Linked DNA regions of Drosophila melanogaster. The gene in region 2 interacts genetically with the main gene of each other region. Each region holds a gene or a part of one and is shown on either strand. Other genes may lie near its edges.

Region 1 (3,755 bases), on a different chromosome or scaffold from region 2:
GCCAGACCATGTGCCTATGCCGTATCCTTACGCCTATGGATATGCCACGCGATGTGATTGTGAATGCGAAAATGTGGCGACGTCGAGGGAAAGTTGTGCTCCCAGCGAAGTTCGCTTTGGTTTGGTTGGGTTCGGTTCGCAGTGGTTTGGCTTGGCTTTGTCGGGGGGGGCTGCTGGCCCCAAAGCTTCTGGGCCAGGATGACGTAGTCCTCCGGCTGAAGTGTGTTAGTATGTCTGCCCTTCCGACTTGGGGTTGCACACACACACCAGCTCACAGCGTATCCATACAGGCGCAACGAGGGTGCGAAGGGGCATTAAATGGTTCGTGTTTTCCCTGCCCTTTTTCATATTTTCATTTGTGCCTCATCTCGCCCGTTTGTCGCCCATATTGGGGTCGCCTGACGGTTCGTACTTTAAAAGCGCCATTTAGTTCGCGCGCAGCCTAAATTATTAAAAGCAAATCCAACACACCGCACACAGGCAGTTCATTAAATTCAATGTATGCAAAATAGCGGCAACAAATGCGGCAAAAGGCAATCTTCCGCCACCCACCCACTCGGCCATCCAGCTGTTGTCATTTTCGAGCCACGAGCCTCAAAAAAGAAACAAGTTTGCGAGGCAAGCTCATCATAATCATGTGCCTTCCAAATGCAGGCGGAGAAAAGTGGGACACTTTTGCAAGAAAAGATGAGAAAATGTTTGAATTTCATCAGTGCTATGATGATATTTCACACAAATCATACTTATATACATACGCAGCAAGTCACATTTCACGAATGACAAATTCCATTGCCTACTTTTAGGCACTACCACAACTTTAGGCACCACATTGCTTTTAAATAGCCATAACTTTAAGATCTTTTATAGATTTCTGATTAGTTCAACTCTTTTCTGGTTATGAATTGTGTTTATCACAGTTTCCCCCCACAATTTGAAACTACTGCAGCGAGTTTTCGCTGCGTGTAGCAACTTTGCTGCGCAAATATGTTTCGCCAACTTCAATTTGTGTCCCAGGTAGTAAGTTTACCGCTGTGTGCGTATGTTTGAGGGGCATGCCGTGTTACTGTTGCCATCGCTGTGTGTGTGTGCGAGCTTGGCTTTTTTATGCGTCACGTGAGAATTTCCTTTATTATTATTTGACTTGGCTACCTCGGTACATATCACGTATACGCAACGTATAATTCCGCAGAAAGGGCATTGATTTTTTTGATTTGCTTTCAGTTCGGTTCGCCATTCCCCCCTTTTCGTTTATTACTTTGATTGCTTTTCACTGTTTTCTTCGTTTTATTTTTTTGTTTTTCTTTTTTTTTTGGTTTGAGGGCATGGATACGCTGCAGTTTGTGATTTTCTTTGCCCTGCTCAAGAAGAAAAATATTTGCTTGCCATTTATGTATATTCTGTTTTCATCTCGTTTTTTTTGTTGTTGTTTGTGTTTGGCACTTTTGGGCATTCGTTTTTTATTCTTGTTGCACGCTGTTCGGTTCATCACCACATTCACACACTTACACACTCATTCACTGACTCACACACACACACACACTCACGCGCGTAAGAAATATACTACTAAAATACAAATTGCTCACAATTTCCTTTGCTCTAGATAGTTGTTGTTGCTGCTGCTGCTGCTGCCTCGCACTGTTTGCTTTCCCACTGGATTTTCTCGGAAAACTCGACGACCACGCGCTTCGACGTCTGACCACGTTCTGAGCCGAATTTCCCACAGCCTTGGTGGAAAATGCGAATGTGGCGTTGGTGAAAAGTCTGCGAGGAAAAGTCACCATCAGGCGGCAGCCGCTTTTCCTCTCACAGGACCTGCGCATTTCCCGCCTGCAGGTGACACACTTTTCCGCGCCAACCGTCGCCGATGAAGTGGATTTTTCGACCCCTCCTCGGGCCACCGCTCCATCCCCCCCTCTGAGCCCACAAGCTCCACTATTTACATGGCACATCGGTTTAAGGCGGCTGGCAGTTTTCCTTCGTTTGCCCACTTTTTTCGTACTTTAGGTTGAAGTAAATTTCGCATGCATTGGCCGGAGGATGGATGCACTGAAAGAAACACATTACCAGCTTGCATATTATATATATATTATATATAGATATTAATTGATAAAATATTTAGCTTACTTATATTTTTAAACTCTATGATAATGGCATGACTTGATGCGTTAAAGTTTTGTAAATAGTGTATTTTATATATAAAAAAAATCAAAAATATCAAACAAATATGAATAGATTAATTCATAATAAAATGAAATTCTATAATATTTTTAGTATATTTTTCTCTGTGTAGCGTAACAAGACCTGGTGTGATGTGGCGCAAATGTCATTTTCAATGGCCGAAAATTTCGGTATGCTGCTGCCCAGTGCAGGGAGTTGAAAATTCGCATTCGCCGCATCCATAATGGATGATATGTCCTTTCGGCCCGCTGATCCTTCGGTTAAAGCAAAGCCACCGGGTTAACTGACCTTTGCAGTGCGGCCAACTTGAAATGCAAATAAGCGCCAATGTCCAATTGTAAAGTTCAGCAATCTAGAGTATTATTTATCACGTTTCAGCACAAACACATTGCCAAAAGCAAACAATTTAGTTTTGTGCGCAAAAGTTGCTGACGCTGGCACGTGCAATTTGAATAATTAACCGAACATTTTAATTAATGAAACAAGTTTGGTATTGACTTGGCCCAAAGTGTGAGTGCGTGTAGATACACACACTAGCACTTAAAAGTGTGTTTTGGCCCGAAGTGTTGTTGGTCATTTGCGCATTTATTAAATTAGAATTTGTGTGCCATTCGGTATGCTGTTTGCAGTGCTTGTGAATAACAAAAAAAAAAAAAAAAGATAATTAAAGTGAGCAGAAATAATTGGGCACTTTATTTATATTTTTTATTTAGTTACCATTCTAGCTATAAAATATGCTGCGAAAATAGGAATTATAAAACACATAGCTGTGTTGTGTGCCATTTGTTATAGTTTAATTGATAATTATTTCGCATAATTATTTCTCTTAATGAGTATAAACACTATTTTAAAACATTCCGAACAATTTATAAATGAAAATTTAAGCAAATGCTTAAAGTTAAAGAACTGACTTAATTATTCCATTTGTATTCCAACTGACAGCAGCTGTTGCAATTATCCCCCTTGCCAAAAACTAAAGTGAAAATGAGGTGGTGGAAAACCATATTCCACGAAGGAATGGCGTTGGCGGATCCCAGAAAGGAAACCGCCGACTGAAGCTGTGAAATGCGAAACGCAGCGGTATCAAAGGGGGAAAAGCGAACTGCCAGAAAAAAATCACAACTGAGAAATCAGAAAAAGGAAAAACCCAACCGGAGCCAACTCAATTCAGCGAAATCAACGCCAACGGCGGCTGCCTGTCAATTAAAACATTAAAACGCGCTGAAAAATGCAGCGAACAGGCGCAAAGTAAACAAACTGCGGAACATGTTGCAGTGCGGACAGCATTTTCCAACATTTTCCAACATTTTCAGCGATTAGAAGCATAGAATTTCGCAATGGAGCACTTAGAGCAGCACCAGAGTTTCGGGCCCAGACCACCAAACCGAGCAAAGAAATCCGATTCGTCGACCAGGGGAGGGACTAATGTGTGACCCAGTTTGGATCACTGTGCAGGAAAGGAACTCTGTGTGTTTTGGCCATTTGCTTTTTGATCATTAAAAACTGGTTGGCCGCCGCCAGCTGAGCGCCCCACTACATTTGCGGTCAGCTTAATAGCACCGCTGCGGCCATAAATT
Region 2 (3,755 bases):
AAATGGTTCAAACTATTCAAATTGGTGGTGGTGGTTACAAAAATGTTGCCGGATTGTACAAATTAAAACGTAATTTTTAATTTTCTCTCTTCTGGGAGAAAATGCTGACTAGAAATTAAAAAACAAGTGAAATTCTGCTTGAAGTTGTGTGTCTGCACTGGGAGTTTCGGGAACTTGGAGCCGCCTAAGAGAGCTAGGAACTAATTTTTGGTGGAACATGGCTGGGATCTCAGCTATATAATGTATATATAAATATATTGCCTTACGGCTCGGCATAGCCGGCGTAGTTGAGTTCGCTGCTGCTGGAGGATCCTGCACTGCCGCCAGGACATCCGCCCTCTGAATGCTTGGTTAGGAGGGACATCCGCGAGAAGGTCTTCGAGCAACTGGTGCAGGAGTACTTCTTGATGTCCGAGTGGGTCTGCAGATGTGCTCGCAGATTCGAGCGATCTGCAAAGGCCCGGTGGCAATGCTGGCAACTGAAGGGCTTCTCTCCCGTATGAGTGCGAATGTGTCCTTGCAGCAGCCATGGTCGCGAGAAGGCCTTGCCGCACAGATTGCACTTGCAGGGCAACGTGTGGGTGCGAATGTGCATCTTGAGGGCACCCAACGAAACATAGGTCTTGTCACAATCCTTGCAGCTGAAGGACTTCTTCACCTGATTACCCTCGGCGGCCGGGCAATGGAACTGCTGATGTTTGGTCAGCCCGGAGAAGGTGGAGTAAGATTTCTGGCAATCCGGGCACTGGTAACGCGGCGGCTGGTTCTTGTCCTTCTTGGCGGAGGCATTCGGCATAGTTTCGGGCGACATATCCCCGGTTTTGGCTGCTGCTTGCTCTCCCGGCTGGCTAGTGTTTAGATTCAAGTTCAGGTTCTTGTGTTTCAGGGATAGATCCTCGGGCAGCGAGGAGCTGCAGCTGGATTCAGGCGTCATCGATCGCATGGAGTAGTAGGAATTCTCGGAATAAGCCGGCGAGATAGGCGCATGGTGATGATGGGTATGGGTATAGCCGCCCAAGCTCGGATAACCGGGCATCTGTGGATAGGGCAGGAAACGGTGCTGCCGCACGCCGATTGGTCTATGGATGATTTCAGATCTCATGGGCGGGGAAACGGAGCTTGCGCGACCATGAAGGTAATGATGTGGTGGCGGCGACAGGGAGCCCAGCGAGTCACTCGGCGAACTGGGCGCAATGAGATCGCCACGCAGCGGCAAAATCTGATGACCCTGCTGATTGATGGTCCTGTAGAACTCGGCGGTGTAGGGCGACATGTGGAAGTTGTTCCAGGGATATTTCGGGTATGTGGGCGTGGGCACAACCACGGAGGCGGCTGCAGCGGCGGCCACAGCTGCGGCAGCAGCTAAAGCCGCAGCCTGGGTCTGATTTGGGTCCGAGTCCACATCCACATCGACGTCCTCGTCCTCCTCCTCGATGTGTTCATCATCTGTATGATCTACATCCACACCCTCGTCCTCGCAACAATCGCTGACGTTGATCAGTTCCTCGGAGGGATTTTCCTCCAGAATTTCCATTTTCTTTACGCACAAATCCTGCGGCTCATTTGGGGTGTTACTGTGATTTTGAGGCGCCTCGAACTGGTAATTAACTGGGCGCTTTTTTAGCGGGCACTTGCTGTAGTTTTTCTCCACCAACATGTCTTCCACGGTATGCATTTTACTGGCTTTTTATTGATAGTTTACCGGAATTGTTGTAAAATGTTCTTAATTTTCGTCACTTTGTTTTCAGTGTGTCATGTTCACACAGGCACAAATACTCGATCGATGCACAAATACCAAACGCGTGTTCCGTTAAGCAAAGCGATTGAATATCGGTTATATTTCGGGTATATTGCGTTGGGAGAGATGGTTATGTGAATCGGTTAGAGTCTGGGAATAACTGAGCGAGTTTGGCGGTGGTGCGGCCTTTTTATACTGCCCCTGCACTCGGCACTCGGCTCATTACACGAAGCTGCCAAAAGAGAACGCTCTCTCGGGCGTTCCGCCGAGAGTATGCATGTTCATTCAGGTATATGCGTCGACCAATCGCGGCACTCGGCTAAACAGGTTTCGCCTTGTTTATGTAGAATTGCCTCACGTGCCGAACTCGTACACTTGCACCAATCGAAGCCGCAAACGAAGCGATGCCGTTATATTTGCTCTAGTGTGGGCCATATATTCAAATATGTTTACCTGTGTGCATCGTGCTCTCCGCAGCTGCTCTCTCTCGTCCTCTCTGCATTTGCATTCAATGCGCAATAAGGAGATCTATGATCTTACCTAGAAATTTAACTAGAAATTCGAAAAACCCCACTTTTGGAGGATTAGCGAACAAGGGTTTCCTTTTACCTCATTATCATTATCAGGTGCATCATTAGTTGACTTAATAACTGAAACGCAAAAAACATGGGCAGGTACCCAACATAAAATACTAACATTTTTAGGACACAGGGCGATGCATTAATGAGCAGGTAGACTTCTGCATCAATAAAATGTTTTTTGGCAGGAGAAAGGAGTGAACGTAGTAATTGTAGTCACTAAATTTGTTTATTAACAAGTATGTTATTGTACGGAATCAAAAGTAACCAATATTCAATCGATTTTGCGTAAAAAGTTTTAGAAATATTGTATTCCCCGTTTATAAGTAAACAATATTAAATATATTAACATCTTTCATTATGGATCCTTAGGAATATTTATAATAAATTAATAGCTTTACTACTTCGGCGTACTAATATGATTATTCTGTAATTCATCATTAGATAATGATATAGAATTTTTTTCTGCGGGCATGTTCCGGTAATCGAATTGGCGAGAATTTTACGACTTGGATTTGATTCGATTTTGTCCAAATACCCAGAAAAAATTTTAAAAAAATAGGAAAATTTCTCAGAAATACAATACGGTAAATATACAACTAGAACGTTTAGAAAGAGCCAAGCTAAAATTCAGTACGAAAAAGAGCATAAGCATTCTCTTTAAGCCAATTGCTTCTCTTCACTCTCACTGTTTCGATTCCACTTTGTTTCTGTTTCGCTCTCGAAATTTTCTCTTCGATTTGAAAAACGTTTGAGGCGCCAAAGCCACTAAAGGCTGAATTGTACCTTTTTGACAAAACGGAGAGAGATATTTAGTTTCTGTTTTTTTTTTTATTGGGTAACACTAGGCTATATCTTTACGATACCAAAAATTGTGGGCGTGGTCCGCCCCTTATATTTAATTTTGTTACCAAAATAAATACATATCTTTTAAGTAAAAAGACATTTTTGGGATCAATTTTTGATTTGTACTCTTAATAGGCCTTCTTCTTGCAAAGTTAAGCAAACTTTGGTTAAGCAAACTTTGTAAAGGCACCTCTGCTTTCGTGCCAGACACTAAAGAATTATTTAATCGGCAATCTTTCTTTTTATTTGCAGCACGAGGAAAAAATGTTTATTTTTTGTTAACTCCCTAATATATTGTTCTTTGTTACATTTTGATCTAAAATAAGGGAAATGCACGTCGTTGGCAGACATTTTCTCCGCGACATGCTGATTTATTAATGAAATTTTGGCTTTCTCAGGGGATTTCTCGATTAATAATTTAATATTCCCTGCCGTCGATTATGTTAACCGTGCGGGATTTTTTTTTTTTTTAAATTTCTGGTACGCAACACTAAAGTCTAATCTTATAATAACATAATGACGTAATCAAAACTTAATATTACGGACTTTTTTGGCCACAAAAAGGTACCTTTCAGCCTATAGTCCATAGAAGC
Region 3 (3,755 bases), on a different chromosome or scaffold from region 2:
ATCCATAAGCTATCTGGCAATCTCTTTATGAGCAGCATTCCCAATTTCTCTCTGATATCCTGCGAAGGCCAACCAAACCATACCGAACCATAGCAAACCAAACCAAAACCATATCGAGCCCGAAGCAAAAGCAGAACGGGCACAGTGGCAAAGTCAATAGCCAATGCCATCGATAAAGCCATAAACTTCATGTACTGGGTGGAGATTGTGGGTGCTGCTGTTCCTATCCGGCCTAAACTGCGCCATCCCAGACCTGTGCCCGCGTTCTATCCATTTCCGGGAATACGCGGCGTATGAGTAACGAGCGCGATGCGTAGGATTAAATGCAGGCGCTGCCTAGTTCCGATCTGTGCCTCCTCGTCTATATATCACTGATATACATATATATAATATATATATACATATATATATGTACATATATATGGACACATATATCTCTGAGCACGTACATAGAGAATTGCAGTGGCTGTCGCTGCACTCGCCCACCAATTTTTCTCCGCTTTTTTGATGCGCTTTCCCAGAACCCCCATGTGCATGAGTTAGTAGGAATTTATGCTGGCTCTATTATTGTTGCTCTTGTTGTCGCGGATCCTTTTTGGCGGGGTATGAGTGCGGACGACGCTCTACATTTTTTTCAGCTGCAGTTTTCTTTGCTGGATATTTTAATGCCAACTCTGACGATATACCAATACCAGTGCCAATAACCAACACCCATAAATGGCGGCAAAATAAAATAGGAAAAAAATGTGTGTTGCATTCGCGCAGGGGCAACATAGAAAACTTTTACGTTTCGCTTAGGGTTTTGCTTTATTTTTTGCTTTCAGGTTTCCCTCTTCTTTTTTTGCGATTTTCATTTTGTTGCTTTGGCATTGCAAATGAAAACGAAAAAATTGCATTTTCCCCGCATATGGATGTGTGTGAGAAGCACGAAATCAAAACAAAACATGGCCACATGGCGGGTCCTGTCGGCTGGTGGGTGTGCGGATGGGATGTATGGATGCATGGACGGATGGGGCACATGAACAGTGCACAGCCAGGAGCAACAGCTCCCACAGCTGCCACACTACCTCCCTGCAGATGTATCTGTATCTGCGAAATGGTATGGTCCATCTGGCGGGAAAAGGGGCTGGGTTTTAGGTACACTTAGGCTCGATAGCTGCAGTTTTTCGCCACCCAGTCAGCGAAACAGACCACCACGCAGTTGCCCAGTCCAAAAACCACCTCATCAGTCGTTTGGGGGTTTGGGTGTTCCATACTTTTTGGCGTTGTTTGATTTTTAGGCGCAGCAAAATGCGTTTTGCTCTTGATTGAAAGTGTGAAGAGTGTGGGGCAGCATGCCAGCGTGTGTGTGTGCGATATGTGCATTGTCCGTGTCCTTCTCGCAGTGTGCATGTATTGGCGAGGACGCCGCTGCCGCTGTCGTCGCGCTTTGTTTTGATTTTTCGCGACTGAGCGCGCGTTGCTGTCTGTTTCTCTCTGTGTTTTTGGATTTGTCCAGCAATGCATATGTGCGCCCACTGTTCTAGTGGGTGTGTGTGTGTGTTTGTGGTTGTGTGCGAGGTTTGCATGTATATGTACACTAGCAGCTAGGAGCGGCGCTGACGTCGCAGTCGCAGCAATTTTTTGCGCCAAAGCCAAACCAAAAAGGACGAGGACAATTCGGTTGGCGCTGCAGCTGCGACGTAGCCGCGGAATTTTTTTGCGCGTTTCGCGCCCGGCCAGCGGCCACTTTCATCCGTATCCACGTATCCAAGTATCCACATCCGCATCATCCTACTCCATCAGCGTTAGCATCAGCGGCCGAGGGGCTGGCGTCCCTCATAATCAACGCGCTGCAGCGACGACGCCATCGACATCGACAGCGGCTCTGGCTTTGGCTTTGGCTCTGTGACTCTGGGGCCCGTCATCGTTAGCAATTTTTGCCAGGACATTGCAACAGAAAACTGCTAAACGCGAAACAAGTTGCGGCGCTTTTTTCTGCTCCTCGGGTTCTCGCTGTCTCCCTGTCCTGGCCTGTCCTGAATCGAACTGAGCCGTGCTGCCAGGATCAGGCAGCAGCAGGCAGCAGACAGCAGGCAAGGCACATCAGTAGGCAGTGCAAGGCAGGCAGGCAGGCAGTCGGCAGGCAGGTCGCCACTTCTCGCAGACTTCTTCGCATCTGCATAAATCAAACCCAGAGGCAGTAGCAGAAGCAGTTAGCCACCCCAAGAAAAAACTCTACAACAGAAAAATACCGAAAAACAAAAGAAAAACAAACAAACAAATAGAAATAGAAAAGAGAGACATCGAAGCAGAGAAACGATAGGAGAACGAAAAAAAGTGCCAAGTGAATGTGAAAGTGAAAGTGTGTGCAAAATGACTTGAAGTGCAAGACTAGACACCTATGTACGTACCACCTACACCACCCAGCCTGGAACACACTACGTATACGCAATGCGGCCCAGGCGCTCATACGCCCCGTTGGCCCGCCAGCCCTTCGAACTAAGACTCGGGCTGGGGCTCGAACAGCCATCGCTCGCCATGCCGTCTTGAGTGCAAAAAATTACCCGCCAAAAACCCAAAAACACACACGGCCGGCTTGCGCCAAAGACAATGTAAGCGCCGGCACTAGAATGTAGAGCAGTTTTTTCTTCATTTCCCAAAACTAACTAACAAAACCAGCCAGCCAACAACAAATAACAAAATAGACAAAGTTACATTTTTACCAATATCGATAATATTAATCACTTGATAATCAGCGCCAGTCAAACGCAACATTTCGTTCGTAAACAACAACTACAACTAGCCACAACAAAGCAAGTCAAAGCCAAGAAGCAACCAAATAAGCAGGCAATACCAGTCAGTCCGTAACGTCAGCAGCAGAAACCAACGAAAAACCAAAATAATAAAGTAAAACGATTGAGTAACTCCAGTTTCAGTACCGCACCGATTCCGATTTGAGCAAAAATTCAAGCGTCTGAATTTGATTTCGATATCGTCTGGCCCGTTCCGTCTTCAAGTCTCGGCCAAAGGTTCGTCATCGTCCCGACACACTCTCAGTTTCTACAAATTCAGACGTAGATCCTTAGTTAATTCACCTTTTGTATTGTGCATTTCGGCAAGCAAATATTTTGGAAAGGATCCCCAGAGAACAAAAAAAAAAAAAGGCGAAGAAGAGCAGAAGTCAACACTCGAAATCGAAAACTACGAAATTACCTGAAAATTTTTAAACAACCAAAAAGTCTATGAATGCAACAAAAATTACACGCTAAATTTTACAAGTGCAAAATTTTCTTATAATAATTTATCAAAAAAATAAAAATAAATTTACAAAAAAAAAAAAAATTAAAAAAGAAGCATAAAAAAACGGAACTTAGTGAGAAAATTAATCAAAGTTTAGAGAGAACATTAAATGCAAACGGAATATCAAAAATTGTTGTGATGTGATATTTTTTCGATGTACTTTTATTTGAGGGTAAGTAAAGATCACTATCAAAAATTCATTTTTCAACCATTACTCCATTCTTTTCATCAATCATTGACTCATTGGGGTTTATTTATCTTTTCAGAATTATAGAATTTAGATAGAGAAATAAGGGAAATAAATACATTCGAAGCGTATATTTTAAGATCTAGGTAATTTAAAGATGTTCTGATTAAGAAAAGTATCTATTATGGGATGCTTGATCATAAGAAAATGATTAACAGTGAGCATTTAACTACTGATCATTTTTGGAAGAGAACGAGAAGAGAACGACATTTAAGACAAATAGTAA

Evidence for each region.
Region 1: of esg (region 2) and jus, changing one suppresses a phenotype caused by changing the other (phenotypic suppression), as found in Drosophila melanogaster (one study listed by BioGRID).
Region 3: of esg (region 2) and pros, changing one suppresses a phenotype caused by changing the other (phenotypic suppression), as found in Drosophila melanogaster (2 studies listed by BioGRID).

What each region holds. Positions count from the first base shown.
Region 1 is NT_033777.3:29,193,305-29,197,059, forward strand, and holds the start of jus (julius seizure), read right to left. Parts: upstream 1,690-3,755; 5' UTR 1,584-1,689; intron 1-1,583.
Region 2 is NT_033779.5:15,332,014-15,335,768, reverse strand, and holds the start of esg (escargot), read right to left. Parts: upstream 1,904-3,755; 5' UTR 1,676-1,903; coding exon 263-1,675; 3' UTR 1-262. UniProt on the Drosophila melanogaster protein: Transcription factor that can both stimulate and repress transcription. Binds to the consensus DNA sequence 5'-A/GCAGGTG-3'.
Region 3 is NT_033777.3:11,326,503-11,330,257, forward strand, and holds the start of pros (prospero), read left to right. Parts: upstream 1-1,977; 5' UTR 1,978-3,454; intron 3,455-3,755. UniProt on the Drosophila melanogaster protein: Homeodomain protein that controls neuronal identity. As a transcriptional factor, regulates the expression of ftz, eve and en in a subset of neuroblast progeny and modulates the transcriptional activity of other homeodomain proteins such as Dfd.